Linked DNA regions of Astyanax mexicanus. The protein of the gene in region 2 interacts with the protein of the main gene of each other region in a pairwise test. Links are inferred from orthologs where the notes say so. Each region holds a gene or a part of one and is shown on either strand. Other genes may lie near its edges. The genes, in order: ing5a, nav2b and rbm15.

Region 1 (10,149 bases), on a different chromosome or scaffold from region 2:
AACTAGGATAGATAATCCTGATCCTAGTTTCTGCAATCAGGAAGGAACATGTCCAGTTTACAATGTTTTATAGTCACTGTACCAACTACTTACTTTTGAGTGCTCTAGTATCTGGACTCTCATAGCCCCCGACATCCAGCTTCTCCTTCAGCTCATTCTCAAAGCGTGCCAGGTCTGCGTCTAGTCTCCGAATGTGCTTGTCAACCTAGAAAGCATTAGTATTGATTAATATATAAAATACAGCTGTTGATTTTGTTGCTTTGGAAGACAGAAATCAATATGCAGTCACTTACCATTTCATATGTCTGCATAGCAAGCTGCACTTTGTCATCGCTGAATTCTTTACATTTGCTGTAAGCATTTTGGATTTTCTGCAGGTGCTCCACCCTCTGCTCGGATGCGAGGTTCCGTACATTTTTTATATACTCTTCTGCAAGCTTATCGATCTCTCCTTTCTTTTCTAAAATGAAAAAGAGAAAACAAAACATGCTTAAACTAAATTATAAAAGCCGTATTCAGGACTGAACAACACTGTGCTCAGACAACATGAGCACTGCATGACTGCAGACTTTATAGTACAATATATTTTTATTAATTTTGGCTGATAAGACATAATTCCAATATTGATATGAACAATAGAAAAAAGCACAGAACAAAAGTCAAATTTGTGTAATGCTGTCTGTAATGAACACCAGCCAATAACACATGCTGAAAATAATAATAAATTACACAATGAAATATTGGAAATGTGTATTTAAAAAAAAAAAAAAAGTTATGATTGTTATTAAGACATTTCTATCACAATACATACAGTCCCCTCAAAAAGTATTGGAACAGTAGAGTTGATCCATTTATTATTGCTGTAAACTGAAAATATTTGGGTTTGACATTAAAAGATGAATGAGAAAAAATATATAAATTTCAGTTTTTATATCTGGAACTGAAAGATGTTATGGAGGTTATGTCGTGGCTTGGGCTTGCATGGCCTCCTCTATGAGAGGCTTATTAATCGTCATTGATATCAAGGCAATCAGGTTAAGGGACTTTTATTGTCATTAAATCCAAGTACACGTACACAGTGTAATGAAATTACGTTCCCCTGGAACCATAGTGCAACATGGAAACAATACAATAGACTAACAAAGTGCAAAAGTGTAACATTACAATAAATACAAGAAATACAACAGATGAGACAATTTAACAGACAGGACAGTGCTGTACTGTTAACTCAGAAGTCTACAGAAACATGTATCTGTTATTTGAAGAAAAATAAAACCAAACTGATGGGGAGATTGTTCATCATGCAACAACAAAAACAGACTGTCTGGAAAAGCATCACAAAAATAGAAAGCAAAGGTTTAGTGATATCAATGGGACACAGACCTGATGCAATTATTGCAACCAAAGGATTTGCAACTAAATATAAAAACGTATTCACTATAGTTTAATTTTGTCTGTTGGTGTCAAATGGTGGGTTCAGATAAACGGTGCCATCTTCTGAACAATTTATCAGATCCAGATGTAAATACCTGGAAATAAAAGCTGAAATAATGATATTTTTTCTTAGTTGTTTTTTGTCAAACCCAAACGTTTTCAGTCTACAGCAATATAAATGGGTTGGTCTTACTTTTCCAATACTTTTGGAGGTAACTGTACATATTGATACTGATTTATAGATCAGCCCTATTTAGACTTACCCTCTGTCCTGTTGTCCAGCTCCCTCATGAGTGTAAAATTTCTCTGCAGTTCACATGGCAAATTCTCAATGCCTGAAATAACAGATATTGTTTTTAAAATAAAGTAATATATCCTATATAATATGCACATCATGAAATGACATGAAATTTTCCTCATTGGCAAAGCAAACTTACAGAGGTGGGCAGTACCTAATAATTAATTTGCTCACACAAACATTCAAATACATTTTTGACTGCTTTTTAAACTTTGTGGGGTAATCTTTTTATTTAATTTTATTTGAGAAATGTAGTCAAGATTATTTAGATACTTTTAAAGACAAAAATGTGTAGCTAAAAATCCCTTTTCTTTTGAATGTTATTATTAAAGAAACAATACATCAGTGCTGCTTTAAGACTTCAAAAATACTCATTCGTATTTTAGACAAAAATAAAAGTTCTATTAAAAAAGACTTTGAAGCATTGCTGTAAAAAAATGAATGGCAAACATAGGTTCATGTTTATCTGTTCCAGAAAGTTCTATTCTATTGGCAGTACTTTCCCCACATAAAATAGAAAAGCTATGTATGTGGGTGCATTTGCACATTTGTGACAGCAATGGGCAACAAGAAACTAAAAGTAGCCGAATGTTTTATTAGCTAGCTAATTAGAAGAGATGTTTATAAACAGTAGTATACTTACTAATATGGCTGGGTAATATATATCAAGTTTTAAGGATCACTAATATTGTTGACAGAGACCACTTCAGTATCTGAATCAGTTTCTATGATTTTGCTATTTATATGTATATGGTTGAGGAAAATGAACATTGTTGTTTTATTCTATAAACTACAGACAATATTTCTCCCAAATTCCAAATAAAAATATTGACATTTAGAGCATGTATTTGGAGAAAATGAGAAATGGCTGAAATAACAAAAAATATGCACAGCTTTCAGACCTCAAATAATGCAAAGAGCACAAGTTCATATTCATAAAGTTTTAAGAGTTTAGAAATCAATATTTGGTGGAATAACCCCCCCTTTAAATCACAGTTTTCATGCATCTTGGCATGTTCTTCTTCACCAGTCTTACACACTGCTTTTAAATAACTTTATGCCACTCCTGGTGCAAAAATGTAAGCATTTCAGTTTGGTTTGATGACTTGTGATCATCCATCTTCCTCTTGATAATATGTCAGAGGTTTTCAATTTGGTAAAATCAAAGAAACTCATCATTTGTAAGCAGTCTTGGGTTTTTCCAGAGCTGTATAAGATGAAACATATCGTTTATATATCGATATAGAATATGTTATGTTCTAACTAGCTCTAACAGTTTGCCTCTCTTCTTCCAGTTCCCAGTATGGTTATGGATACATAACCAATTGATCTTTCCATCTCTAGAGTATATCTCATGTTCACTCTACAGCTGAATTTTAAAGTGCATGTATAAAATTTGGAACATGTAACGTTAGTTTTGTCTCAAAGATTCTTTTTGTTATTACCATATGGAAAGGAAATATATCGAGGTATATAACGTTATCGTATAGCGACTTTCTGGTAAAAAAAAATATCGCGATAACATTTTTAATCCATATCGCCCAGCCCTACTTACTAACTAAACTAACGCTAACTAGTGTATGTCAATATCAATGATCAATAAAAATTTTCACATAACTGCGTCAACAGTGCTGATTATCGTTAGTGGACGCAGAACAGATATACTAGCCAGATTAACCGTGTTACAGTGAATGCGGTAACTAGGTTATTTATTAAACTTAAATTTAGGGAAAACGTAAACATATGAGTCCTGCCTAAAGTTTCAGGCACGGCTGCCAAACTTTCGCCATAGCTAGCTAACCTAGGCCGGCCCATGCTAACGCGGCTAAAGCTAAACTAGCGGGTAAAATCCCCCACTGTACATTTAATCCGCTTCACTTTAATCTAAAATATAACTTGTAGACAAACAAGTCGGTCACTGGTCTTAAAGCTGTAGGAAATATCCAGAAACTGCTTATAGTTTCCCTGTTTTCGTACCAAGACTTTAGCGATCTGAGATTAGCTTAGCCACATTAGCTCGGTTATCTCGCTTACGCCACAAGCAGCAGCAGCAGCAGCTCGCTGGGCCGCCAAAAACAGCGCAGCCTCAGACATTTAAACATCTAACCATAATAACCACACGGTTTCATTTATACTTACTGTCCAGGTAGTGTTCGAGGTAAATAGCTGTCGCCATTATTCCAACCCTTTAAAAGAATACAGAGATTTAATGTTTTTCTCAACGCGTGATCCAGAACAACATTGGCATCTTATTAATAATTCATGACCCGCATCGTTCCCATTGGTTGAGACGTTGTGGTTTTGCATTCTTTCCTCTGATTGGATACTTTTGGGGTTTGGCTTATTACGTTATTTTAAATGATTATTATATTAAAAATATTTATTTTTAATTGATTTAATAAATACATTTATGTATGTATATGCATATACACATGTAATGAACCATAGAGGAATAAGATATTTGTTTAAAAAATAAACTTTAATAAACTTAAATACTTTAAAATACTTAAAAAAACTGATTTAAACCACTTAACTAAAAAACTCAAATCATCCTTTCAAAAGATTTGTATCAATTAAAAAATAATAATTTTAAATCTATAAGAAGACCAATTGCAGCCAGTAACCTTTCTATGGCTCAGGACATAACAGAGAGGGTAATACATGTATTTGATTAATTTAAAATGTTTATTTAAAGCTAGCTAGAGTACTGATGAGAGTGAAGAGTCATTGCAAATGGTAAACATTGTATTGCTTAATTATCAAGGTTATTTTTATTAATCAAATTACGGGTTTAAAATAATTTTAAAATGAGGTATTTATTATTGTACATCTATAGACATATATATCCTGCCATGGGGAATCTCAGTAGATTGTGCTTCTTTCAGAAACCTGTGAAGAACTTTTATGTAGCAGTGATTTTTATGTTTTGACTGATATAAGGTGGTTGTTTTTGCACCTTGTTCAGTATAAAAGCTGCTTGGACGGTTGAAGGGAGCTACTTTGTTTTATATAGAATTTTTATTGCAAAATAAAATCCCTTTGGTAGCTCTAAATCGTGTTTGCGTCTATTTTGGCACATCTGCAAATAAAAAAATAATAAAACTACAAAACTTTAATTGTAATAAAGAATTGCTCATGTATGTGTTGTTATGTATATAATATTTCAGCTCTACAACACACAGAACAGACGAGAATAAACAGGGCGGAGTGATGTACAGTGATTGACAGCTTTCTCCACCTATAGGGACCGAGGCAGTCAAACTTAAGTGTTTAGGTTTCTCCATTCATTTTTGTGGAACATATAACGTATAACGTACTTATATACGACAGGAAATTGTAGAGTAACAAAATAATTACGTATATAGAAAATTCTACATAACTCGCGCTTTAATGGCCATTTGACAGAGCTCGTGTTTGACCCCGGAAATAATCTCCTCTGCTAACTCTGTGCAGCGAGAGAACTACAGTAAAGGTTCAGGAGTGTGAGAGGAGAGTGTGTGAGAGAGTGTTTGCTGTGTGTGACTGGATTCATTTACAGATATGTGTGTTAAATAAATGGACACAGGCGTGGAGAACTCGAGTGACCTGCAGTCTCAGGTAGGCAGGAGTTTGTATAATCTCTCTGTGTTTAGTTATGTGTGTGTGGAGGAGGCTGTGAGAAGTTGGGGTTTGTATGAAAGCTTGTGTTCTGCGTTTTTGATATAAAGTTATTTCCACAGGTTGAAGAGATCGAAGCACTTTCCTCCATATACGGTGATGAATGGTGTGTGATTGATGAGGCTTCGAGAATATTCTGCATCAAAATATCAGATGATATTTATGAGCCCAGGTGGTCTGTTTGTCTGCAGGTACAACGTTAATCTTTCTTTTATTTACTTTTGTACTTAGATATTATTATAATTATAACTAAGTTTATTATTATTATTATTATTATTATTATTATTATTATTATTATTATTATTATTATTACAATACCACACCTTAAATTCAGCATTGCACATTGATACTAAAGTCATCCAAACTATGAAGGAAAACATATGGAATTATTTAGTAAACAAAAACGTTTTAAACACACAAATATGTTTTGTATGTTAGATTCTTCAAAATACCTTTTGCTTAGCTTTTCACATCTTGGCTGTATTTTCTCAGGCAATTTTATGACGTAGAGTTACCTGGAAATGGCCTTCCTTGCTGTGTTAATTAAATGGCCATCCCTGCTGTGTTAATTAATTAATTACTTGAATTTCGCGCATCAATTGTTTTGTGAAGAGTAATGTTATATTGCAAGAGCTGCTACTCAAGAAAAGTAAAGAACTGAAGGTCAGTCAATACAAAATTATACTGCCCCAGAAAAGGAAGAGTAAGATTTTCCTTTGTTGTACAGGATCAGTTCATCAGAGTTGTCAAACGTCAGAAATTGCAAGTAACACTTATGTTTTCTTTCATAGTACAGAAATAGAGTTAGTAAGTGGTGTTATTAGTAGTATTGCAATATTAGTAGTAGTGGTAGCACTATTGGCATTATGCTAATTCATAGTAATATTAATAGTATATTTTTATGATTAAAATTAGGATTAGTTGCAACAGCAAATTTAAGCTCTTTAGTTTATTTTTGATCATTATGTTAAATCTCAAGTGAGACTTTTTATGAAGAATATATATGATAGTTTAATAGATATTAATGCAGTTACACCCTTTTAATACGCAATGACCTTTTAATGAATATTTGTTGTGTGGGGTTTTCTGTTATGGATGAAGTGGTCAATTTGTGACTGGGTACAATTTGGTGAAGTTTATTTGTATTTAATCAACTATGAAGGTAAATGACTGAGGTCATGTACATGGATTGTTTAAAATGTCCGTAATGTGATTTTTTGTTACTGGTGTAATAATATAAACTTATTTGAAAGTCATGAAACACATATTGTTTTTCTTTTGTAAGATCATACTCCCAGAAGACTACCCAAGCTCAGCACCTCCAATATACCAGATAAAGTAAGTGCAGTGTGTTTGTGTGAGAGGATGATGATCTAGCTTTATGAGTTTATTTACATATCAGTGATCACTGATTGTGAAACGACAATGCATGCAACATAAAGACAAATAGATAAACATCTGAACACATAGAGAACATAAAACACAATCTAGTGGCTCTTTTGTGCTGTTCTGTGCAGTATTGCAAATCTGTTTATAATGTTAATGTGCATCTGACTGACACATTCTCAAACACAGTGTGTTGTGAGTCACAGGTGGAAAAAAATAGGAGAGTTGTGTGTGTGTGAGAGTGGACTGTGACTTGAGATACATTGACCCTGCCTGTGTGTCCTTGGCCACCAGACTTAATGCAGTGGGGGAAAAGCTGTGTTTGAAGCGACTGTGCACTGATTCAGTCTGACAATAAGAAGGAACAGTAATATATTTGGCTTCTCACAGGCTGCCATGTGTATGATTCACTTTATTAGCACTTATTTGCTGGTGTGGTGCAGGTGTTTGTCTTCATGGTCAGTATTTTTTTCTTTGCTGGGAGATTAGATGTGGAAATGTAGACAGAATTGAAGTAGCAGCTGGACTTGTCAAGTGTTGATTTAATCATGTTTGTCTTATTTGTTCAAATTTGACCAAAATAAGCAACTATTTGCTTTCATAGTAGTGCAAATATGTAGTTGGCCAGTGTTCTTTAACGTAGCATTATGTAGCATTTTTCGCTTAAAATATCAGCTTTGAAATCATTGTGATGCTTAACTGACTGTATAATGTAGTCTATAGTATTAGAATAGAAAATATTAGGTGAATCAAACAGGAGAATGCTTGAAAGAACTGTGTAACACTGCACAATCTATGTAATAAATCTGTGTAAAATCCTATAATATTCCTGTACTGCTATAGTCCACAAGCTTCGTTCGCTTCATTTACCAGTTCTTTATCTCTTAGCTTGTCCAGAAATGCATGTGTAAAGCATTCTTCTTCCTGACTGTAGGGGAATCTCGTGTAAAAAATACCCAATTCTCACATAATGCTCTATTATATAGTGAAGATTTTAAGATTATGTTCAACATGAACCACTTCAATCATAAATATCATTATTTTGGCCAGCTCTAGTTCTAACTGTTCTTCATTACTAACACATTACCTGACAGTTAAGCCCTAACATTTGTTTGTTTGATTTATTTTCCAGTGCAGGATGGCTAAGAGGACCAGACAGAGTCAAAATCTGCAACAGCCTGGAAGAACTGTATCTGTAAGCATCTCCCAAATCTCTTACTCTGTATTCAGTAACATTTATATTTACAGCATTTTTCTGATGCTCTTCTCTATTGCTCACATATTTGTGCAAGGCTAAAAGCTAATGTTCTACAGTTTGTCCAACTAACTTATGTCAAAGTTTGGGGAGGTATTGGCAAAGGTATCTGGTATCTGTATGGTAATAAATTTTCTTGTTTCAGTGCTAAAAACAAAGGAATGCTAAGCTAAGCCATGATGTGTGGTTGTGGGCCTTCCTCGAGCCCTCTGTAAAAGAAAACTCTGCATGTTTCCTTTTAAAGCAAAATAGGCTTGTAAAGCTTCATGTTAGCATTTTCACCCCAACCAAAGTCATATACATAAACAATTTTATTAATTCAAGAAAATACCCAGTGCCCAATATGTGCATTCTGTGGCACCTGTAGACATTCTAGTGGTTTTCATTAATTCCCCCACTTTTTTCACTATTGGGGAAAAAAAAAAAAAAAGCCTAGTATTTAAAGGAAAGCTATTACAAAATTACAATTTACACTGAACATTTTTAGTGTTCCATCAGACACACCAGTAAAGCACATTATTGTGTTTCCACAGCATTATTGTGTTTCCACAGTTGTGGCCTGCTGCTGCAGTTGGGGATGGTTGGGTGTTGGTGGTGCAAAGTGGGAACCTTCTGTCACTGCTAAAAAAGGTTCTAGAGGAAACACTGCAATATGACTTGAAATATATTAGTTATTGTTTGATCTTTACCCGAATAATTTCAGATGCTGAATATTTGGTGCCTACTTAATGTAGACTTAAGAACCCTTGAATAACTTGAATATTTCTTAGGAGTGAGTACTCGTACATTAATGATGTAATAATAATGACCATGCCATGTGTGTATAAATAGAGTGCCTTTATATGTTGTATTGTTTATGTTTTATCATTACAGGGAAAATGTTGGAGAGAGCATTCTTTACCTCTGGGTGGAGAAAATCAGAGAATTCCTGATAGAACGGTTGCAGCGAGCAGATGCAGGTAAAAGCTCAGAGTCAGAGTGTGTCACTGGACTCATTACGGCATATCAAATTATGCACCAGGTTATTTGCAGATCAAAATTGCTCTCCACCACAGGCACCAAACACTCTAGTTGAGTAATCGGCGTCTCCTTTCAGATTCATTCAGGTGTGGAGCACCATTACGGCATGAGAGCTTCTGCCACAGCAACAGTCGATTATGAGGGAAATAGAGCTGATGATAATATGAATGTCTTATGTCTCACATATTGTAGATGTGGAGATTAAAATTTAAATGCAGTAAATTAATCCTGAAGTAAAGTTCTCCACTGGGGTGCCACTGAGGATATTATCTGAGTCACTGGATTCACTTGAGTGATGAGTGATTATGATTGAGGAGCAGCTTATTTATCAGGTAATTGCAGACCTGTCTCTGTTGTTGTTGCTGGAAGCTTTTTAAGTTTTTTATTTTTTATTTTGGTCATACAGTAAATAGCTTAAATAAAAAAGTAAGACGAATTTAACACAAATTAAGAAACTCGCACATTTGTGACCGTGGACTGCTGAATTGTTTTGAGATTTTTTTTAAATCCCTTTACAGAGTTCTCTGCCTCTACAGTCTTCTTTTTGAAGGTCTCCGTTAGCTCTTTGGATCTGGGCATGGTGATCCACTCACTTCAACAACCAAAAGAAAACCTAGTTTGGCTTTGGGTTTAAATAAGACAGGCTTCTCCAGAATCCTCTCCAACCATGTTGTAAATATCTGCAGTTGAATTGTTGCACCTGATTCTGTTCACTAGCATTAAGGAAAAAACTACAGGGTTTGGTGCTTCAGGGTATATTTGTAGGTCACTAGGTGTCAGTGTTTCTTAGGAAATCCGCCTCCCACCTGGATTGTCTTTCACCTGTGGGGCATCACATGTTCCCAGTTTTCTAAAACTTGTGGAGATGAGCTGCTATTCAGTCTGCTGCTCTCCTGAAAATGTTTAGCAGGCTCTGCCAGTGCTTTGGACGTGAACTGACATGATTATGGTAAATGGCCTGGCCTTGCTTCCTCCCTGGCCTTGTTTTCCTGCTGTTGCTGCTAAGTATGAGCTATCCTGCTTATTTTTCTCAATTTTTTCCCCATTTTCTCCATAATTTACACGGCGTTTTACCTAACCCACTCATTAGGACTCCCCC
Region 2 (10,721 bases):
CGAAAAGCCGTCGCCCACCAAAACACCCTGCACCACGTTTTATTTTTACAGCCCTGAGTTTTCCAGCACTTTGTGCCAGTATTAAAAAGGGACCGAAGTGCAAAACCCAACGGAATATGAGCTTTATATAAGCAAGTGAGTGATGGACGTGTTCGTATGTGTGCAGATGGGTTCACATGTGGGTTTATATTAGAGAACATGAGGATATACTGTCTGTCTGTCTGTGTGTGTGAGATCATTTACACTATTATACTTGCTTATATAGTAGTATTTGGATCAGTGCCAGTGCACTATTCCCATTGATGTGCTCTATAGTGGTGTAAGTGTGTGTGTGTGTATATGTGTGTGTATGTGTGTGAGCTTGGATCCCACATGGCCATGCGCCCACCTGCACTGTGGCACACCACTACTAATAGAGCACTGTAGTAAAACCTCCACTGCTGTGTGTGTGTGTGTGTGTTGGTGTGTTTCTGTGCGTAATACTATAATGACAGACCAGGCGGCCGAGTGTTTCATCCTCCAAACCACATGAAGAGTGAAGTTCCTCACTGTAGCAGGGGCAGAATAAATACACACACTCACACACACACACACACACACACACACACACACACACACACACACACACTCAGAGAGCAGCTGGAGGCTCAGTGTAGAGTTGTGTAATGAGGCAGAAAGTCACATTTGAACAGAACTGCCTAGTCTATTCTTAAAACAACAGAATATATATACTGAATTTATTCACCGGGCATGGAACCCAAAGGTCATGGCAGTCCAGCTCAAACAAACGTGGCTTTCAAAGCTCCTGTTTGAGCCCCCTGTGCTTTGAGGTGTGAGTGCTAAGCTTAAGAAATCTTTATTTGAACTATTTTGATGTGTTTGATATACAAAACTAACTTAGAATATGGTCTATACACTGTCAGGACCAATCCTGATATCTCCAATATCTCCAGCTTCCCTTTAAACTGGAATTGCCTAATTAACCTGGAATTACCAAATAACCCTGGTTTTTAATCACAGTTTTCAAGCGTCTTGGCATGTTCTCCTCCACCAGTCTTACACGCTGATTTTGGATAACTTCAGAGGTTTCAACTTGGTAAAAACAAAGTTTTTTTTAAGTGGTCTCTTATTTTTTTTTTCCAGAGCTGTGCACAGTAACTTCATTCATATAAAGTTGCATTCAACTGTAACACTGCACATTGCACCAGTAAGAGCAGAGTGTGAAGGTTCAATTAGCAGGGTAAGAGCACAGTTTTGCTCAAAATATTGCAATGCACACAACATTATGGGAGACATAACAGAGTTCAAAAGAGACAAATTGTTGGTGCACGTCTTGCTGGCGCATCTGTGACCAAGACAGCAAGTCTTTGCGATGTATCAAGAGCCGCAGTATCCAGGGTAATGTCAGCATACCACCAAGAAGGACCAACCACATCCAACAGGATTAACTGTGGACGCTGTAAGAGGAAGCTGTCTGAAAGGGATGTTTGGGTGCTAACCTGGATTGTATCCAAAAAACTATTCAATGTGCACCTCAACTCTCCTGTTTCCACCAGAACTCTCCGTCACCACAATCAATTATTGTGGTCTAAAACCAGGTGTTTCAGTTTCATTGTCCAACCCCTTTTTTCAATGAGTGTATTATAATAAAAATATTATAATAAAATCTAATAGCATTGATTTCAATTAAAAGCAAACTCCTGCAAAATGTATTTCATACAAACTGACCCTAAAGCTGGTTTTCCATCAACTAAATACCCCACGTTTGGTCTCTGACCTGCCATACTGACACTGACACAAACAAAAACACACACTAACACCTCAAGCAAGGTGTTAATCTCCATTTAACCCCACACTAAACCAGGTAAAGCCTCTGTGTGGCCGTTTAAGCACCTGTGAGTGAATGAAAGCAGTCTAATAATGCTGATCCTGTACTACAGCTGGACATATTTTTACACAGGACGTCCAGGAAAAAAAGCCCTGAGAAAGCTGTGAAAACACACACTCACATATATAAACAAAGTCTTATTAAAACATTACTATGCGCTCCTACTACAAAGCTTTACGAAAGCCACAACTGCCTGCAGGTGCAGATTAACCCCTTCAGTGCTGAGGAAGCTCTTCAGTACTTCACCAGCATAACTTTGAATGTTTGGATGATATATTGTCTCAAAATCATTGCAATAAAATATATTATTCATATAGTTATTTTAAGACTATTTTATGATAATGATATATAATTTCATAGTTATAAGCATGAAGCATCTTATTCACTGTACCACATGTTTCCCACTCTCTGACCAAAAACTTTGTAAATCTGTGATCCTTTTTTCCCTTTCTAACATAATCTGAATCTTCTTGTTGCTCTTTCCATTGTCTCAAAATGCAATAATGAATGAACTAATAGAAATACTCCAAAAATGACTTCTTTTACATTAACTTCCATTGGACGTTTTGTTCCTTGTCTTGTAAAGTTGCTAGTTTTAGAGATACAAGGAACTCAAACTATTTTTTGCATGACAGCAACTATATACGTACATGGGACATGTCATTACATTTAAGTGCATGCAGTCGCTGTCTTGCCTTTTTATCTCTATTTTTGACATTTTTCACTTTTTGACAGCCTCTCTGATTGGTGTGGTCAGCAGTTCCAAAGCCACTAGTGCAGCAAACCACCTCAAAGCTCACTCTATCCCCCTAAATGGCAACTTTATGGGAGAAGAAAAAACATTCTTAACTTTCAGTGGAAGTCCAAGTCCTTTTTATGGTCTAATCATTATCATCAAATTTGGAAAGAATGTAAAGAACAACTGGCAGATATACATTATTACAAAAAAAAATAGCACAGATTGAATGAAAGTTTGAATGAAAGCAGCAATAGCTCTGTACTTGTACGGTATGTAGTGCTAATATATATTATACAGCTCTGGAAAAAAATAAGAGATCACTTGAGTTTCTGAATCAGTTTCTCTGATTTAGCTTTATATGTTATATTTGTCTGAGTAAAATTACCATTGTTGTTTTATTCTATAAACTACAGACAAAAAAATCTTGATATTTAGAGCATTTATTTGCAAAAAAAAAAAAAAATGGCTGAAATAACAACAAAAAAAAGATGCAGAGCCTTCAGACCTTAAATAATGCAAAAACAAAAAAAAAAAAAAAAAAAACAAGTTCACATTTATTAAGTATTATGAGTTCAGAAATCAATATTTGGTGGAATAACCCTTGTTTTTTTCTTGGCATCATTTTCTCCTCCACCAGTCTTACACACTGCTTTTGCTTACTTTATGCTGCTTTACTCCCGGTGCAAAAATTCAAGCAGTTCAGTTTGGTTTGATGGCTTGTGATCATCCATTTTTCTCTTGATTATATTCCAGAGGTTTTTAATGGTCTCTTTTTTTTCCAGAGCTGTATATGTATGTGATGAAAAAGTTTCCAAATCAGATTAAACAAACCTAACTCTAATCAAAAACTTTGGAACCACAAAACGTTTTATAACATTTCATTCATAACATTTATAGCAATTCCACTTTCTGGCTTGTTTTTCTATGAATGAAGTATAATCCTTTCTGTACACACACTGTCTCTCTCTCTTACAAACACACACACAGACTATAACAGAACTGACTCCCTTACACCCACTTACACACACACACACACACACACACACACGCACGCACTTGCAAAACAAACCATCTCCAACACAAGCAACACAAGAAGCTCAGAACTCAAAGAACTCAAACCTGGGGGTCGGCGATCTTCTCCTTGACTGTCTGACTCTTCTTCAGCGTCGCTCCTGCAGTCTGACTGTGTCTCCTGGAGAGGGTGCTCCTCAGTGGGATGAGGCTGGGATGGCTGAGCTTGGGGCTGCCGTTGTGTCCGGTTCTTCTGTGGCTGGGAGACTGGGGAATGGGCAATGCGCTGTGGACAGGCTTGGGCAATCCAGACTTCATGGTGGAGGTGACCAAAATGGCCGGCATTTTCCTCTCTTCTGCTGTCCAAGCAGAGTCGCAAAGCTGTGGCGTTCTTCCAGAGGCTGGCAGTGGCACACACACTTATACACCACACACACATACACTCCTGCTTGACTTGAGTGGGAGCGGTACTTGGAGCAATCACGCTTGTTGGCTCAACAGCTGGTGCGAGTCAGTGGACTGCCCCCAGACACTCAAATGCACACACACAAACCCAGGCAGTTCAGAGAAGCCTCAGCAGCGTACACACTTGAGCAGACTTGTGGAGAGTCTCAGGGTTTAATAAGAAATCCATTGTAGACACTTATATCCAGTTCCAATTGTCTCAAGAATCTGCGTTTTCCAATTTCCTTGCAGTCTAGAAATCTACAGTCTGGATTCCACCTGCTCTGAGGCTCAGAAAGTGAAGAACAGTCAGGAAACCAGTACCTGCTGAGATTCTGAAGAGCACTCGAGGGAAGTTTCCTTCTTAAGAAAGTCCAAAATGCCAGGAAGAATAAAGTTTCCTTCTTAAGAAAGTCCAAAATGCCAGGAAGAGAGAAGATGAGTTCAGCTCATCTGAGTAGAACCATCAATCTGTGGGCCCAAGCTTAACTAGCCTCCAGTTGCAGCTACAGTCAGTAAACACCTCAGGCTCGGGAGGGATTAAAGAGGAAGACCATTAGTGAGGCAGCAGATGTGTCTTAGACGAAAGCTCAAGACTAACACTCCTGGGTGTCAAGCTAATCAGCTGTTAGAATCAGCAGTCAACCACAGCCTTTCTGATTGCTGTGGTCGGCAATCCCAAGAGAGTTGGTGCAAGGGAGCACCTTAAACTCAATAAATCCCATATACATGGGTTGGACAATGAAACTGAAACACTTGGTTTTAGACCACAATAATTTATTGTCCTGACGGACAGTTCTGGTGGAAACAGGAGAGTTGAGGTGCACATTGAATTCTGTCGTGATTTGGACAGCCGTGGTTTTACGTTTTTTTTTTTTAATACAATCCGGGTTAGCACCCGAACATCCCTTTCAGACAGCTTCCTCTTACAGCATCCACAGTTAATCCTGTTGGATGTGGTTGGTCCTTCTTGGTGGTATGCTGACATTACCCTGGATACCGTGGCTCTTGATGCATCACAAAGACTTGCTGTCTTGGTCACAGATGCGGCAGCAAGACGTGCACCAACAATTTGTCCTCTTTTGAACTCTGGTATGTCACCCATAATGTTGTGTGCATTGCAATATTTTGAGCAAAACTGTGCTCTTACCGTGCTAATTGAACCTTCACACTCTGCTCTTACTGGGGCAATGTGCAATTAATGAAGATTGGCCACCATGCTGCTCCAATTTAGCCATGAAACCTCCCACACTAAAATGACAGGGGTTTTAGGATATATCTTAAGTGTTGAAGAATTTTCCAACCATGCATTCACTAACCGACAGAAAGCTGCTAAACACCAAGATTCACTGTGGGAATGAGCTCTAATGCTGACAATTTGGGTTAACCAAAACACAAGGGTTTCATAATCCCCTCTGAAGTGGCTTAACTGGTAATAGGAAAGAGTGCCGCAAAGCTAAGAGGCTGAAATACTAACGCTTTCTTACAATAAACTGGAGCTGGGGAAGATTGCGGGGGAATTCCTATACCTGGTCACACTTCCTTCACCATGCTGAGAGAGTGTTTGTTTATGCACCCACAGCCTTAGCTGGGGGAGATAAAATTGTGCTCGGGCAGCACTTCCTGTAGGCTAGAGATTGAGCTCAGTAATAATCTCTGCCAGGCTAGAAACAGAAACCCACCAACAATCCAAAACCTCCCTGTATACAGTCAAAAAGTACTTTTTTAATATGTCTTAAAGAGACCATTTGAAAATACCATCTATCCATCGCATTGGATAATTATCCAGTCATCCAATCTATAAAAAATGTGCACATATTGGCTGGATTGTCTCAGTCAGCTTTATGAGGTAGAGTCACCCAGAATTCAGGCTTTCAGTTAACAGCTGTGCTAAACTCGACAAGAATTCATTTCTTGTCTTAAGAATTGTTTGCCTCTTAATGTGTTTGAGAGCATCAAACATTGTTATACAGTGAATAGCCCTATTTGAGTAATGTTCTAATCCAGATTATGAGAAGCAAGAACTACTCAACTAAGTAAAGAAAAAAATACTTTGAAGGTCAATCAATTTTAAAGTATCATCAAGTGCAGTTTTTAAAGAACATCAAAAAAACATGAAACTGGTGAAACTGGCTCTCATCAGGAGTCAGACCACCCCAAAATATATTCATTCAGAATAAATTTATCAGAGTTATCAGCCTCAGAAACTTTAACAGCACCACAGTTAAGAGCACCTAAATGGTACTGTAGAGTTATCACGCATGCCTGGAGTGGTGGGGAAAAAAAAATTATGCACATCCACCATATTCTGTTGCCAATGAAAACATGTTTACCTTTATTCTGGATCAACATGACAAGCAAAAAATATCTGCACAGTAAATTCAAGCATACGACACAGATGGTATGTGCACTGTGAAACCTCATAAGTTAAGTAAACTCAAATTGTTTGAGAAAAACAAAAATCTTCAACCACTAAAATTAAATTATTTGAGCTTAAATAACACACTAAACTATGTGCACACCAACAGTACACTTGTATGCATGCACAAGACATTAGGATTTTTATTTTTTTGCTGATGTCACACTAGCCAATCAATTATTGTAGCCAATAACTGTTCTCTTAACTTCTATCAAATAAAATCCATGACCAGAAACTGGAATTCTGAAAGTTATAGATCTTATATAAGATCTATAAGGTCTGGAGTTGAGAAAGGTAGCCTCAACTCAAGGTAGTCAATGTGACTTCACGTTGATGGTGAGTAAAGGTGGGGTAGATATGCACACCCAGTATGCAAATTGATGGTCCCAGGAGCCAATAGGAAAGGTGGTTTACTCATCAGCGCCAGGATTACTCAACTGAATCAACTCACCTTAACTCAAAACTGATCAAAGTTGATCAAACTCACACACGAGTTTTGTATTTAGTTTGATTTAATCAACTTAAAAGATCTCAAATTATGGTAGTATTTAAGTTATGTTAAATTTTCAAAAAATTTCAAATTACACAAAGCAGAACCAGTTGACCTTTTTTTTTGTTCATTTAATCTTAGGGCACAGATTGAACAAGGAACAAACAACGCCAGGACCTAGACTGACCTCTGCATTTAGATCTATGGGAAAAAAATAAAAAATAAACTCAATAATAAACAGGTTTATGAGTTATGAGTCAACCAGTACACTCAGTGACCCTGACGATGTGCATTAGTGCTAAATGCAGGAGCAGAGGTCACTAAAGAGTTTGAGGAATATGAAAACGATGTAAATCATGTGCTATAACTTTCACAGTCAACAGATCTCAACCTACTTAAACACCTATGTGAGATGTTTGAGTGAGCATGTTAGTCAGCACTTTCCACATCCAGAACCAAAACACCAGCTGAGGAAAGAACTTTTAACTCCAGATAGTAACAGAAGCAAAGTACTGAGGAAAACTGATGTTCTTTTGGTGGTTTGTGAAGACCCAAGACCTTAATATGTAGCTGAATGTACAGTGGTATAAAAGAGATTTTCCTCTATAAATCATTAGTTGTTTGGATTAGCAATTTCAGTTAAATATATCATACAGCAGAAGAACACAGTGATATTTAAGAAGTGAAATAAAGCTTATATGATTTACCCAAAGTGTGCAATAGCTGTTTGTTCTTTTCCCACCATGCATACTGCCCTCCAACTTACTCTTAATTCTAAATTCATCAGTCCACAGCACCTTATTCCAAAATGAAGCTGGCTCGTCCAAATGTGCTTTAGCTTTAGCATACCTGAAGCGACTCTGTTTGTGGCGTGTGCACAGAAAAGGCTTCTTCTGCATTAATTACTCTCCCATACAGCCTCTCCTTGTGCAAAATGCGCTGAATAGTTGAACGATGCACAGTGACACCATCTGCAGCAGGATGCATGATGTTGTAGGTGTGTGGAGCTCTGGAGGTCCGCAAGTTCATTATGACTGTTCTCACCATCCTTCTCCTCTGATTATCTGAGATTTTTCTTATTCTGCCACTTGAGTCCTTAACTAGAACTGTGTCTGTGGTCTTCAATTGTCTATTTTCTCACTATGAAAACTTCCTCACAGTGAAAACTGACAGCTAAAATCTCTAAGAGAGCTTTTTGTATCCTTTCACTAAACCATGATGTTGAACAATCTTTTTTTTTCAGGTCATTTGAGAGTTGTGTTTTGAGGCTCCCATGTTGACACAGTTCAGAGAAGATGCAAAGAGGAGAAAACATGCAATTGGAAACCTTAACCCTTTCTCATAATTGGTGTATGTAGGTCAAGGGTCAATAATCTTACCAAACTAATTTTGTGTACCAATAATTAGTGCTAAATGTATTCAAATCAATAAAACGACCCCAAAAAAGTCACCCAAATTTAGGCACCTGCCTAATTTAGTATAAAGGATTTCTGCACACTTTCTGTAAATCCTATGAACTTCATTTCACTTCTCAAACATTATATTACTGTGTTCATCTGCTATATGATATATTTAACTGAAATTGCTGAACTGAACAACCAATTATTTATAAAGGAAAATCATGATTAAAATGATCAGGGGTGCCCAAACTTTTTCAAACCACTGTACATGTTGTCACTGTTGTGCAAAACCTTTTTATCTCTTCGGAAGCATGAAAATCTGAGAAACTCTGAAAAGAGACAAACATTTCAAGCAGGTATTATGGGGTGTTCCTAGTTTGCAGTGGTCAGTATCTACTGAAAGCACTTCAAGGAAGGTCAACCAGTGAACTGGCAACAGGTTCCAGGGCACTGTATTCTAAACTTCTATAGTATACTGGACCATAAAAAGATTTGGGCTCAATCAAGTGTATTCTAAATTTAGAATATTCGCAAACTCATAACCATGCCCTAAACAGCCAGAGCACTCAGCAGAAGCAGCAGAATAATTCCATCAGTATGAAACAAGCTTGGTGTGGTCGAGAAAATAAAAAAGGAAACTCTCAGAATCAGACCTCCAAGGCTGAAACAGGAGAAACAAACAAAGCGGAGGCCGGATCATAAAATAACATCATGGGAAATATGGCAAAGGGAAGCGTATTAAAAAAACACACCACAATAACTGCGGGTGGTAGGTGTGGGTTGCTAAGCTGATGCTTCAAATAAAAACAATTTGCAATGTGGAACCAATTTGACAGAGCTGTGATGGGTTTGGTGGTTCAAACCTCAGAGACTCCTCCGGAGGGAAGCACATTTTGTGTATTAGTGCTGTGCACCAAAATAGCAACAGTAGCAGGTATAAAAACACCATACACCTAGCAAACCTGGTCTGAAAGTAATTTAGGGCTGAAGATCTAGCATATCTTTCCCACATGACTGTCCATGGCATGTTTGGTGTCTGATGTTCCTTTTTTTTGAGAGCAGCAACAAGGCTAATGTAGCTAACAAGTACTAAAATAATCACATAATCATTAATTAGCACAAATCATTAACTGGTACACATCGAATTCTGGAAACCCAGGGAGCTATCAGCTAGCAGTTTGTCCCACATAGCTTGTTTTGACACAGTAAACTGCAAAAAGCTGCAGACTACAGTCAAATATACTCGTCTCTGAATGCCGAAAGAGCTAGCGCTGCTGTTAGAGGCTAATGCTAATGCTAATGCTGCTGCACCCAGCCTTAGTGTTATAGAAACTTCACTGAAAACTCACCCTTAAAAAGCTGTACTTCAGTGGAGTGGTTTTACTGCTCCTTAATACCTGACTGGTAGAATTCATACATAAAGTGCATCAGATTATAAGGCGCACTGACAGTTTTAGGGAAAATGAAAGGATTTTAAGTGCGCCTTATAGTCCGAAAAATACGGTAAACACATTTGTCAATAAACAGGTTGCTCAAAAGTTTTTGACTCTTGCACCAATTTCTTTTTTTTTGGTTGTGAAGCACTACTTATAACCTTCTTAAGATAATATAAGTAAGATAAAGCGCAAATTCTTGCCATTTTAAACTGGCCTCAAGATTTTTATCAGGAGTGTATTCACTGCTTTGCAATATTGTCATTCCTTCTCACATCACTTAAAATATATAATTTGAAAATAATGACACCAAGCACTGAAGTGTTTCAGGTGTTGTTTTGTCATATTCTACCTGCATATGTACCCAAAGGTGTACAACAGAACAGGGTTGCCTTTTCACATTTTGGCTTTGCTACAACCAGCCCAGGCTTTGTTTTTGCATTATCTTGTTTAATAATGCTGGATGCCCCGGGAAAGACTGCTTTAAAACAGGCATATGTTGCTCTAAAGGGAATATTTCTGCATTAATTCTACCATCATAGAAGTTCTGACACAAATCAATTCCATGACAGACCTTTCCTATTGCACTTGTTGCTGATAACAGTCTGGATGGTCCTTTTTTTCTCTGTCCCAAAGCTCAAGTCATCTTTTTTTTCCAAAACAAAGATAAGATCTGAAATACTGATTCTTTACGCCACTACATATAAGTTTCCACTGTGTTATGGTCTGTCCCTGATGCCTTTGAGCCCTCTGCAATGTTTATTTCTGGACATTGGTTTACATAATGCTTCTGTACGGTGGCCCTGAAGTGCAAAACAAATTAACATGTCAGAAAACAAAAATACAAAAACTAAAACACATTTACAAAACTTAAAACAAATTTACAAGACGCAAAAC
Region 3 (10,967 bases), on a different chromosome or scaffold from region 2:
TTTGAGAGGATCATCATATCTTCCTGAATTACATTAATGTGGGAAAAACAACAAAACCTTGGCAAAAACTGTGTTGACAAAAATGTAAATGAAAAGACCAGATTTGTGAAATATTTGAGTGCATTCCAAAGCTATAATTACTAAAAACTTGATGGCATAATAATAATTATTTTAAATAATTAATGATAATACCAACAGCACTGAAATTAATGGAAACCAGGGACTGATTAAATCACCAATCTTTAACAGAGATTATCGTGTACTCAGTGTGGGAGAAGAGAAAAACTCAAATTATAAAATGGGAAATGTCTCAAATGACTAGATTTTACTACAAATTTAAATGACTTTAGGAAGGAAAAGAAAGACACAGTATACCATATCTCACACTGATCAATATGCTTCACACAGCAGAAACCTTTATCTTTAACCTTTTGAAATTATAAACTTAATATGCACTCAACTTACTGTACCTTTTATAAACATGTAAAATTAAAAGATGTAGCTCAAATTAAACCAAATATTCATGTTTTAAGAGGTCCTGGGTATAATAAAATCTGACACAAATCAATAATTTGTAGCCTCAGTAGCTCTTTTTGTCCAGTTCCACACTGATGAACATTTTAATACTAAGGTACATTGTGTGTCTATCACTGTATACAACATTAGCCTGTATTATTATGCAGAACTCTGAACGTGAAATACCTGTGCAACAGTTTCAAAACAGGACAATGGAGAAAACATGCAGTTTCTACGTGAGAAAGATCTTGACTGCTGTAGGTGGCTACAGAACTACACACCTAGGCCTATGTTACACCTTATCACTGACTCGTTAAGTGATTGTTTCAAGCATTAAGTCACAAGAAGTCAATTACCTTTACCTTTTAAATCAGAAAAATGAACATAACGACATGAATCAATCAACATCTGTGTTATTACTTGTAAGGGCAACCGCTTGTAGTCTAAACTTCTATGCAAAAAAGTATAGGATTTATAACAGTACAGAATATTCTGGCAAATATTTAATTTTCTAATTCTATGTCTGCCTTTTTATCAACCACTCTTATAATACAGCTTTGCACAAAGATGATTTAGTTTGGACAAAAGACTCATAACTTGTAATGATAAGCAAATATTGCGATAAGGAAACCAATTCAGCTATCTGAGTGTGGCATGTTTTATCCCCATGCATTGCATTTGGCAGAACAGATGACACAAACCCACTTTAACCCATTTAAACTAGAATTTGCTGCACCAGGCTTAACAGAGCATGCACAATTGAGACACATTTTTTTTTTCTTTTTTTTTTTTTACAATGCATTTTTTTGGTGTGTTCTGATTGTTAAGATGCTCCGCGGACGATAATCATGACCAGGTAGTCCTCTTCTGTTTTGGCAAGAGCTTTCGCAGAGGAATCTAAGAACTGCTGAGAGAAATCACAGGGCGGAAAGGCATGCAGTACCCCCGTGTTGTCCTTATCGCGACTGCCCCCGACAGGTAGGCTGATGACCCCGGCTGCCTGCTTTTGCTTCAGGTAGGAGACCAGGTTTCGCAGGGGACGCTGCGTCGATGCTGCTGGATCTGCTGAGGAGGAGGATGACGACGTCGTGTCCTCGGAGCTGCCAGGAACTGCCAGGAGAACCGCATACCCGCCCGGGCCTGCGACTTTGATGCGGCGAGACACCTCATCCATCTTGGGCTGGTCGAGGCGAAGGCGCTGGGTGATGCGGAGCTGGGTGACCTTGCCTCCGGTGCTGCCGTCGACGAGGAGACTGCTGGCCACGCTGAGGTCACCATCCAGGATGTGCATGCTGGCTGGAAAGTTGCTGTTTTTCAGGAGGAGCATGCCGTTCCAGGCCATGCTCAGCTTTCCTCCTGAATCTTGCTTAGATGACTGGCTGCCTTTGGAGCTGCCCTCAGCTCTGTCTCTTTTAGAGGGGCCTTTGCTTGCTTCTCCTGCTTTGCGCTTTCTCTCAGATGGGCTTGTTCCGATGCCGGACTCTGACAGGCTGCTGCTGCTCTTGAGGCGCTTTTCTGCAGGTCCTCTGTCCAGGCTGCTGCGGCGTTCTCTGGCTGGGGACGGCCGCTCTGCTCGAAGCGGACGCTCTGAGTCACTTAAACGCCCATCACGGCTGCTGCCTCCAGGGCTGCCCTCCAGAGAAGGTGGTCTCCTGCGTCGTGCCGCCCACTCGCTGCTGCTGTCAGGTGAGCATTCCAGGTGGCGCCCATCCTCTAGTAGGCGCCGTTTGCGAGCAGCATCCCTGCCAGGCAGCTCACGCTCCAGGGACCAGGGCTCTCTTGGACGGCGTTCTCTCTCCAAGTGCTCTAGAGGTTCGAAAGCAGGAGTCCTTACTCTTTCACGAATAGCAGGGGCTGGCCACTCAGCCCCAGCATACAGCTCCCGTTCTCTAAAGTGCAGTGGTGGTGGAGTCCTTTCTCTGACCCTGATTGCTTCAGGAGTGGCACGGTGGACGAAAGACTCCGCCACGAGGTCATAGTGTGGCAGAGGAAGCGGCTGCAAGAACTGCTGCTGGTATCTGTGCTCAGTGTCTGCAAAGTCCACCCTCAGCCTTCTGTCTGGACCTCCCAGAGGAAATCCACGCATGTGAGTGCAGGCTGCCTGAGCTGCATCCAAGCTTTCATACTGGATGTACGCCCACGTGTCACCTTTTCTGTAGTCTATAGTCCTAATGGTGCCAAAGCGATCAAACTCCCTCGCTAAAGCAGCTAGAGGAACCCAAAGCCCTAGGCCACCCACCCAAAGGCGTGTGGTTGGCGTGGCCTTGCCATAGCCGATTTTTATGGCGTTTCTGCCCACCACCTTTCCAGACATGCTGATCTTAGCTCTGTGGGCCATGTCCAAATTCTCAAACTTGAGAAAGCCATATGTGCTGTTCTGGCCACGCGTAGGTCTCTTGATGTCCACCTCTGTAATGGTCCCAAAACGATCAAACGCCCTCCTCAAATCGCTTTCTGTGACTGTAATGTCCAAGTTACCCAGGAATAAAGTTCTGTTGGCTCTTTGGTCGTCCTCTGGAGAGATGAAGTCCTCTTCTCTGAAGGCAGCGGCAGCAGCAGCAGCCCTCTCAGCGATGTAGGCAGGCCTGGCGGCTCTTGCTTCATAGAAGGCAAACTCCCTCTCTCTCTCCAGCTCTCTGGGTAGAGGAGGGGGAGGGGGTGGAGGAAGGCGGCCCAGAGCGAGCTGCTGTAACCTGTAGTCTCTGTAGCCGAGCCCAGTAGGGGAGAGAGGCCTCTGGGTGTGTAAATGTCTGTGGCCAGCCACTGCTGGGAAATGGTCCTTGTCCACCGGGCTGCGGCTTCTCCTCCGGTTCATGTACACGGCCTCGATTTTCAGAGGGCGGTCGTACAGCACTAGGCGGCCGCGGGCGTGCTTGGCGGCCCGGGCGTCGTCAGGCCTCCTAAAGTTCACAAACGCGATTCTCTCGTCGTTTACGCGGCTAATCTTCACGCTTACGTCGCCGAATTTCTTGAATTCGTGGAAAAGCCCGTCCTCGATCTCCTCGTCGCTTAATTGTGAGCCTAGCTCGCTGATTTTCAGCGTTTTGTACTCACTGTCGTTGGCGGGGAGCGGAGTCCGCGGCTCGGCCCGCGAGTTGCCCCTAGCAGCGGCGGCGGCGACTGCCTCCAGCGACAGGCCCGAGTTGTGGTTCTTCGAGTTGGGGCTGGTGTAGCTGTTCCCGGCGCGGCTGGAAACATGTCCGTCAAAGTCCCTACTGTCTCTTTTATCGCCTAGAAGGCTCCTTCTCGCTGAACCTCCCTCGCTTTTGGAGGAACTGTTGCCGTTGTTGCTCCCTCCGGACATGGAAATCACCCCCATTTTCTTACTGCTCGGGTGGCTCCCTCCGCGGTCTCGCAGATCATCCAGCGCCCTCGATCGCTTTTTCACGGGGGAACGCTCTTTCCCTTTCATGTCGAGCACTTTAAACCTGCGCCTGGCCTAATAAACACTCACAACTTGTATAAACTACACCCTAGTTACGCAGATTTAAACGAAAAAACTACGAAAATCCGCCCTGAATCATTCCCGCAGCAAAACAACTGCATTCGCCATCTTGTCTCCACAGCTTCAACACACACTAGCAAACCTAGCTAACGCTAACTCAGGCGAGTCGGGCGGGCGTACCTCGCCCGAGCAATATGATTGGTTGGAATGTCTGCGAGCGCTTGTTTCTATTGGCTGAAACTCACGTCAATCACAAACTCAGAACAACGCCCAGCTAAAACTGGATTATAGCGTGCCTGCCCACTTCAAATCTCTGACGGATGTGTCAGTAGCGTTACTCTAGAGCAACCGATAGAGGGAGCCCGCGAGGGAGTCTTAAATGAATGGGACTGAGTGGGGCTAAACGGCTAAAAACACAAATTAAAACATTGTCCAACTACTTCTTCAACATTTTAATTTAATTTCAGAAAATATATTCACGTATTTCGCTAAAAACGTAAAACAAACATATATTTATGTTTCGATTTGTCCACAGCAAGCATGTTTCACTCAGTAAAAACGCTAGCATTGCTGCTATTGTTTGTGAGATCACTGAGCTGATGTTGGAGATACAGTCAGAGAACACGTTTAAAAGCTGTATAACTGCAGTTTACACTGTTTCTGCGCTGTTAAAACATTTTATATAGTTTTGTTTAGAGGAAATGAGAATTTGTTTCCCATTAAAAAATGATCAGACATTTATAATATCCTATTTTGATCCATTGCTCCATAAGAACCCATTCATTTTGAGCTCACTCAGAAGCGCCCTCTGCTGGTTGAACAAAGCCAGAAGACGTGCTAAAATGACTGATCTCCTCTCTATAGTTTCTTTGGCCCAGCTCTCGCCTAGCCCTCGTGGCATGCGGAAATGAGCCCTCAGAAAGGACGTTTAAATAATTCAACTTTCAGCCTTTTTTTAACGTTTAAAAGGAATTTTCACGCATTTGATCTATAATAAAGTTTATATATAATGATACGAAGGCTTAAATTGTGCAGCAAGATGTGTAAAAACGGTTTATTTTGGTTTATTTAAAATATTTGACCTCTGCTAGAGGCAATGCAGCATTTAATAGCAGTTCATTTTATGTTCAGTAGATGTCGCCGCCTGTATTCTGTATACAGCTCTAGACCAGTAAATACGTTTTTAAATAAATTTTAAATAAATATTAATAATAATAATACTTTAATAATAATAAAATGTATTCTGTGTTGGCTACAAATAATTAGGCAAAAAAAAGAAGAAAATGAACCACTATGTGGCTATTTTTTATAGTTTATATATCTCACAAAATGCTAGAGAATTTAATCAAAATATACTTGGATATGTGAGATGACATTTTATATGATAAAGATGTAAATTGAGTCAATATTACTTTATTATTTCCTTGCAACTGAACTGTAAAATGACCTAATTTGATTGAACCCAGAATTATTTATTAGGTATAGGTATTTATTAAATGAGCAATATGTAAAATGTAAACACATTTCTTGTAAGCTTTGCTGCAGGTTTTTGATTTTATGTTGTGTGGCATCACCTGTGATGGGGGATATAGCAGCAGCTGAATGGGTGGGATCATTGGTTTAGTTAAATTGGGAGAAAAATGGGAGAAAACACACAATGATGTTCTAGCAATGTTACCAGAATGTTTAAAATCGTTAAATAAAATGCTCTAAAAACTTCCAGAAACATTCAGTAAACTTGACTCCACTGCACTGCTTTTCTGATCAGTGATTCTTATTATTTTCTTTTCCTTTATCTGCTTATCTCATTCACGTAATCTGGGCCCTAATCAGTTTGCCTTTGTGGCTGTATCAGGCCGTGCTGTCTCGACGGGCCGGGCTGGAATTCAAAGCTGTGGGTGTGGAGAGTGTTTCTGACAGCCTCGCTCTCTCTCGGCTCTATTGGAAACACATGTCAGCTCTCTTAAAAACACGACATGGTGTGCTAGACTGGCACTTAATGTGGTTCTGCTCTGCTGTCATGCTGAAGATTCGGTGGAAAGACGTGGTAACAAATACTCGCCCTAAAACAATCCTCCACCGCTGTGCGTTTGGAGAGTGGGGTAAGATGACAGTGGCTTTGAACAGGTTGTAACTGCAGCTGTTTAGCTCTGTTTCTCAGCCTGGAAAAGAGCTAAAGAGCTACATCTCAGATGTTATCTAAATTAGGCAGCTTGTCCTAAAAAAAGTGTCTGACAGAACTGGCATGCGGTCATTAGATGCAGATGGAGCTGTCTCACACAGCACCAGCACGCTTCAGGCCTTGTCACATCTGCTGTGGATGTTCTACCACCCCTGTAGCTGTATTTAGCTGGTCTGGATGCTGCTGGAATGTTTGTTTTATATAATGAATAAAAACAATGCACTGAACCACCCTGATTCTAATGTGTTTATTTCCACACATACAATACACTACAATGCATTAACATGTCACATACTGTATCCAGGGGCGTAGCAGCAAATTCTGGGCCCTGTACACCCTCTATGTTAATGGGCCCCTATCCATGCCAGTAAACAAAGGAAAGTGAGCGAAAAAAAATCAGGATTTTCATGGGCCCCTCTCCCTACTCGGGCCCTGGGTAGTCAGGTCCACTTTTCCCCCCACTACCACGCCCATGACTGTATCATGTGTCAGGAACCACCTGTAGTATTGGGTGCCATTACTTTTGCCATGTCTACTGGTAGCTAGCTAGATGTCAGGTTTAAGAGCATTTTTAGCTCCCCTTAAAAAGTTCATTGTACATAGCAATGATATTTTATTCATTTATAAACCAAAACCAATTCAAAACATTATTTTATATAATTTATGAATCCTAATACAGTATTTTTGGATTTAATGCCCGACACAAGGTTTTATAAAATCTACAATACTACTCCTCTTTGGGCATGACAGTATCATGCATAATGTATTTAATTCACTGATTAACATTTTTTATTCTTATTGTATTGTATCGTATTTTATTATTTTTAGATATTTTTATACTATACTGAACCCTTTACCATTTAGTTGGACTTTTGTGTAGAGGACAAATTCAATCACAATATCTTAATAAAGAAGATTTTTAACTTAACTAAAATCTACGTGTGTATTTGGTTTCTATGATCCGGATCATTTGATGAGTTCATTTACTTGGAGCGTTTTCTCCCTCTGTTGGGTTTGGTTTCACACAGGCATAAACCTAAACTCACCAAAATACGCACCAATAAACCACGTGGGCACATTGTGTCCTCTGATTGGTCAGAGCTGTCTGGTGTGGGAGAAATAAAAACAAAATATATCGAGAAGATTCTGTGTTTCAGTGCAGATATCTGTGCAGTGTGAAGCTGCTTTAACACAGGATGCTGAAGATTTGGCGCAGTGCTTTCAAACACAGCGTTTTTGATATGCAGTGCAGATGTACAGTAAACAGAGTTGTGCAGCTGCGAGCAGTGAACACAGCACACACAGTGCGTGTAAACAGCACGGAGCAGCAGCAGAGACAGCATTTGTTCCTAGCTGTGGTAATTAGCATTATCTGGCTAATATATCAAATTTTAAACTGTGCCTTATCAGCAGTTTAGCTTAAATAAAAGGAGTATGTTTGATAGCTGGGTCATTTCTTTTGGTTCTTTTGGGACTGGAAAAAAGTTGTTTTTATCTGCACCTTAAGTAAAATTTTCTATAAGAATGTTTCCTAAGCCAACAGAAAGTAGTTTAAAGGTTTTAGTTTATGGGTTTAGCTGGGATTGGTTAGGTTATAGTTGGGTTTAGTTGATTTAAGTTAAGTTGATGGTACCACCCCATGCCAAGTGGTGGACCTCTAAAGGTACAGTTGAGTTTACTGTCATTTTTTCTAAAAGTCTGGTCTCCCAGAAACAGGACTGAAAGCAAGTGGTCCAGGCCTCCAGACGGCTTGATTTGTTTTTCCGCAGTGGTTTACTTCAGATAAACTAAACCTCTTGTATTAGAGTTGAACCACTTCCTTTCTGACAGATTCTTAGAGAATGTAATTTAAAACCAGAGGAAGTGAGTGTTTGTGTTTAATGAATGCATATCTATGGGTGCCCTCCTGCTCTTCTAGTGCACTCTATGGCACACTTACTAGATAGTGTCCCAAATGGTTTTCTTTCCATCAGAGAAAATGTGATGGGATGCTGTGTTCTACAGTTTTTTTCTACAGATGAGAAAACACAATAAAATGTTTGGTTAAATGCTCCTAAATGCTCTACCTGTGGATTATATATGATGTAGTACCTAATAGTACAATGTTAATCAATGATGCAGATATACAGCTCTTGAAAAAAATAAGAGACCACCAAAAAATTATGGGTTTCTTTGATTTTACCAAATTAAAAACCTCTGTAATATAATCAGGAGGAAGATGGATGATCACAAGCCATCAAACCCAACTGAACTGCTTGAATCCTTGCAGCAGGAGTGTAAAGGCATAAAGTTATCCAAAAGCAGTGTGTAAGACTGGTGGAGGAGAACATGCCAAGATGGAAACTGTGATTAAAAACCAGGGTTATTCCACCAAATATTGATTTCTGAACTCTTAAAACTTATATATAAATATGAACTTGTTTTCTTTGCATTATTTGAGGTCTGAAAGCTCTGCATCATTTTTGTTATTTCAGTTGTTTCTCATTTTCTGCAAATAAATGCTCTAAATGACAATATTTTTATTTGGAATTTGGAAGTCTGTAGTTTATAAAATAAAACAACACTGATTCAGACTCTGAAACTGATTCAGAAACTGATCTGTATTTTAAATGCTGCATTACAGCTTCTTCACTTCTTCAGTGCTGGTGAGGACCCATGTTGCTTTGCTTTAATTTAATTACATTTTTGGTTGTACGGGTTCCTTTCTGCAGTCCTTTTGATTTACAACAACAGTCTTACAGTGTGACACTTCCCCTTCAGACACTGCTCAAACACTCGAACAGCTCTGCAGAAAAAATATGGTCACAATATGGTCAGACATTAATCACACAGACTAAAGCCATTAAAACACAACATCCACAGTTGCTATAAATTATGTGCTGCTTTCAAGAATACCAAAGGGGATGTTTTAATGATTTAGCAGCTTAAAGCCTAAAGGAAAACTACAACAATACAATTAGCTTTATATGTTTCATATATATTTGAGGCAGCAATAAACTAAATTGTCTATTAAAACATTTTAACTGTTCTTCTTCCTGGGGTTAGAAAAACAAAAGGAGTGAAATATAAAAGCCATTTATTAATATTCATACTAATGTAAAAACTCAGCATACATTCATTTAACATATGAGATTAGCAACTTTAAATATTTTTTTTTGTTTTACAAAAATGTCATTCTGTTCTGGTTCATACAGAGTTTATATACAATTATGCACAAGATGAGGAAAAAAAAACATTTACCTGTTAGAAAAACAGCATATCGTCATACAAATGTACAGTACCAAAAACCTTGTATCTCCAAAACAGCAACTTTACAGGAGTTGAACAACAATATCTTAATTTTTAAATGGATTTTTTTTTTTTGCAAAATGATCCGTTTAATAGGACAGTTTAACGCAATGGGAAGAATGAAACAACTGCCATATTCATATTCTTTTAGTACATATAAAAAAAATGCAAAAACTAAGAATAGAGGTGTGTAATATTGTATCATTCACAAAATAAAAACCTATGCAATATTTTAAACAATAAAAAATAATCCATATTGTGATTCGATATTGGTATTGTCTTAAAAACAGCCTATTTTGTATTTGTTTTGCTATTTATTGTGAAGCTTTAAAGATATTTTGTATATTTTTTAATGTTTGCATTGTTTTGTGGTATATTTATTTGGTACATTACATAATTTACAATACAATATTTATCGTTAAATTATCATCTTCCTACTGCTGTGTACAAAAATAAGAAATGTTTACAGATTTTATTTGTTTCTACTGAATGTTTAAAACTTTTATACTAAATAACACTTTGACAAGTTTTTGGAGGCAGTAGTATATTCTTGAAGTTTCATAATATTATTTTAGGACCATATCACACGCTCTTAATGGAGATACAAGCTTTTTGCATGAGAGTGACAATACACAGATCAAGCATAACATTATGACCATTATCAATTATCGTTATCAATCTTATTAGCTCTACTGATCATATACTATATGAGTAATTTTATAATTACAGAATGTAGTTCTGTATCTATTTCTCTGGATACTTTATTATTATCCTCTTTTACCCTGTTCTTCTTTAATGATCAGAACCCCACAGGAGAGAAAACCACCACAAAGCAGCTATTATTATTATTATTATTATTATTATTATTATTATTATTATTATTATTATTATTATTATTATTATTATTATTATTATTATTATTTGGGTGGTGGGTAATTTATTCTCAGCACTGCAGTGATTAGCAGTGATTAGCATGGTGGTGGTGTATGAGGTGTTAGTGTGTGTTGTGCTGGTGATACAGTGAGTGGATCAGATCCTCCACTCTATTACACTCTCCTACCTGCACTGCAAAAAACTAAATCTTAGCAAGTGAAATTTTCTAAATTTAAGGCAATAAATCTTAATTTTTGTGATAAGACTTTTTTTTCTTACTAAGCATTGTAAGTGTTAGATTATTTAGCTTATTTTAGGGATAGTTATCTTAATCATTCTTACTTAAAATTTGTACCTTAGTTTAACCCTTTCAGACCTGATTTAACTACAGTGATGTTTTTTACTATGAAATCTATATAGCAAATTAATCTATATAGCGAATTAACAAAATTATTTAATAATTGATTTTTATTTTCATTACATTGGAAGTTTGTGTGTATTTTTTTTTATTTCACATTGACCTTTTTACTTCATAAACCATTCTTAAACAGTAAAATTAAAATTAAACATTAAAAATGTTCTAAATTACATTAAATTAGTAAAAATTAGCTCTTACTTTGCCTCAATGGCTTTAGTGCTACTGTTCTTTTTTCAGTACAGAGG

The links.
Region 1: the proteins of nav2b (region 2) and ing5a interact in binary tests that used the Homo sapiens proteins (3 or more experiments, as listed by UniProt). The two-hybrid records come from large-scale screens. The link is inferred for Astyanax mexicanus from reciprocal best matches to the Homo sapiens genes NAV2 and ING5.
Region 3: the proteins of nav2b (region 2) and rbm15 interact in binary tests that used the Homo sapiens proteins (3 or more experiments, as listed by UniProt). The two-hybrid records come from large-scale screens. The link is inferred for Astyanax mexicanus from reciprocal best matches to the Homo sapiens genes NAV2 and RBM15.

What each region holds. Positions count from the first base shown.
Region 1 is NC_064423.1:28,853,162-28,863,310, reverse strand, and holds the start of ing5a (inhibitor of growth protein 5a), read right to left. Parts: upstream 4,010-10,149; 5' UTR 3,909-4,009; coding exon 3,872-3,908; intron 1,770-3,871; coding exon 1,698-1,769; intron 461-1,697; coding exon 294-460; intron 206-293; coding exon 94-205; intron 1-93. Other genes in the region: protein IMPACT, read left to right, coding at 5,288-5,329, 5,452-5,580, 6,675-6,727, 7,908-7,970, 8,904-8,989. UniProt on the Homo sapiens protein: Component of the HBO1 complex, which specifically mediates acetylation of histone H3 at 'Lys-14' (H3K14ac) and, to a lower extent, acetylation of histone H4. Component of the MOZ/MORF complex which has a histone H3 acetyltransferase activity.
Region 2 is NC_064417.1:6,271,347-6,282,067, reverse strand, and holds the start of nav2b (neuron navigator 2), read right to left. Parts: upstream 4,563-10,721; 5' UTR 3,984-4,562; coding exon 3,747-3,983; intron 1-3,746. UniProt on the Homo sapiens protein: Possesses 3' to 5' helicase activity and exonuclease activity. Involved in neuronal development, specifically in the development of different sensory organs.
Region 3 is NC_064419.1:41,295,507-41,306,473, forward strand, and holds the start of rbm15 (RNA-binding protein 15), read right to left. Parts: upstream 4,111-10,967; 5' UTR 3,929-4,110; coding exon 1,340-3,928; 3' UTR 1-1,339. UniProt on the Homo sapiens protein: RNA-binding protein that acts as a key regulator of N6-methyladenosine (m6A) methylation of RNAs, thereby regulating different processes, such as hematopoietic cell homeostasis, alternative splicing of mRNAs and X chromosome inactivation mediated by Xist RNA.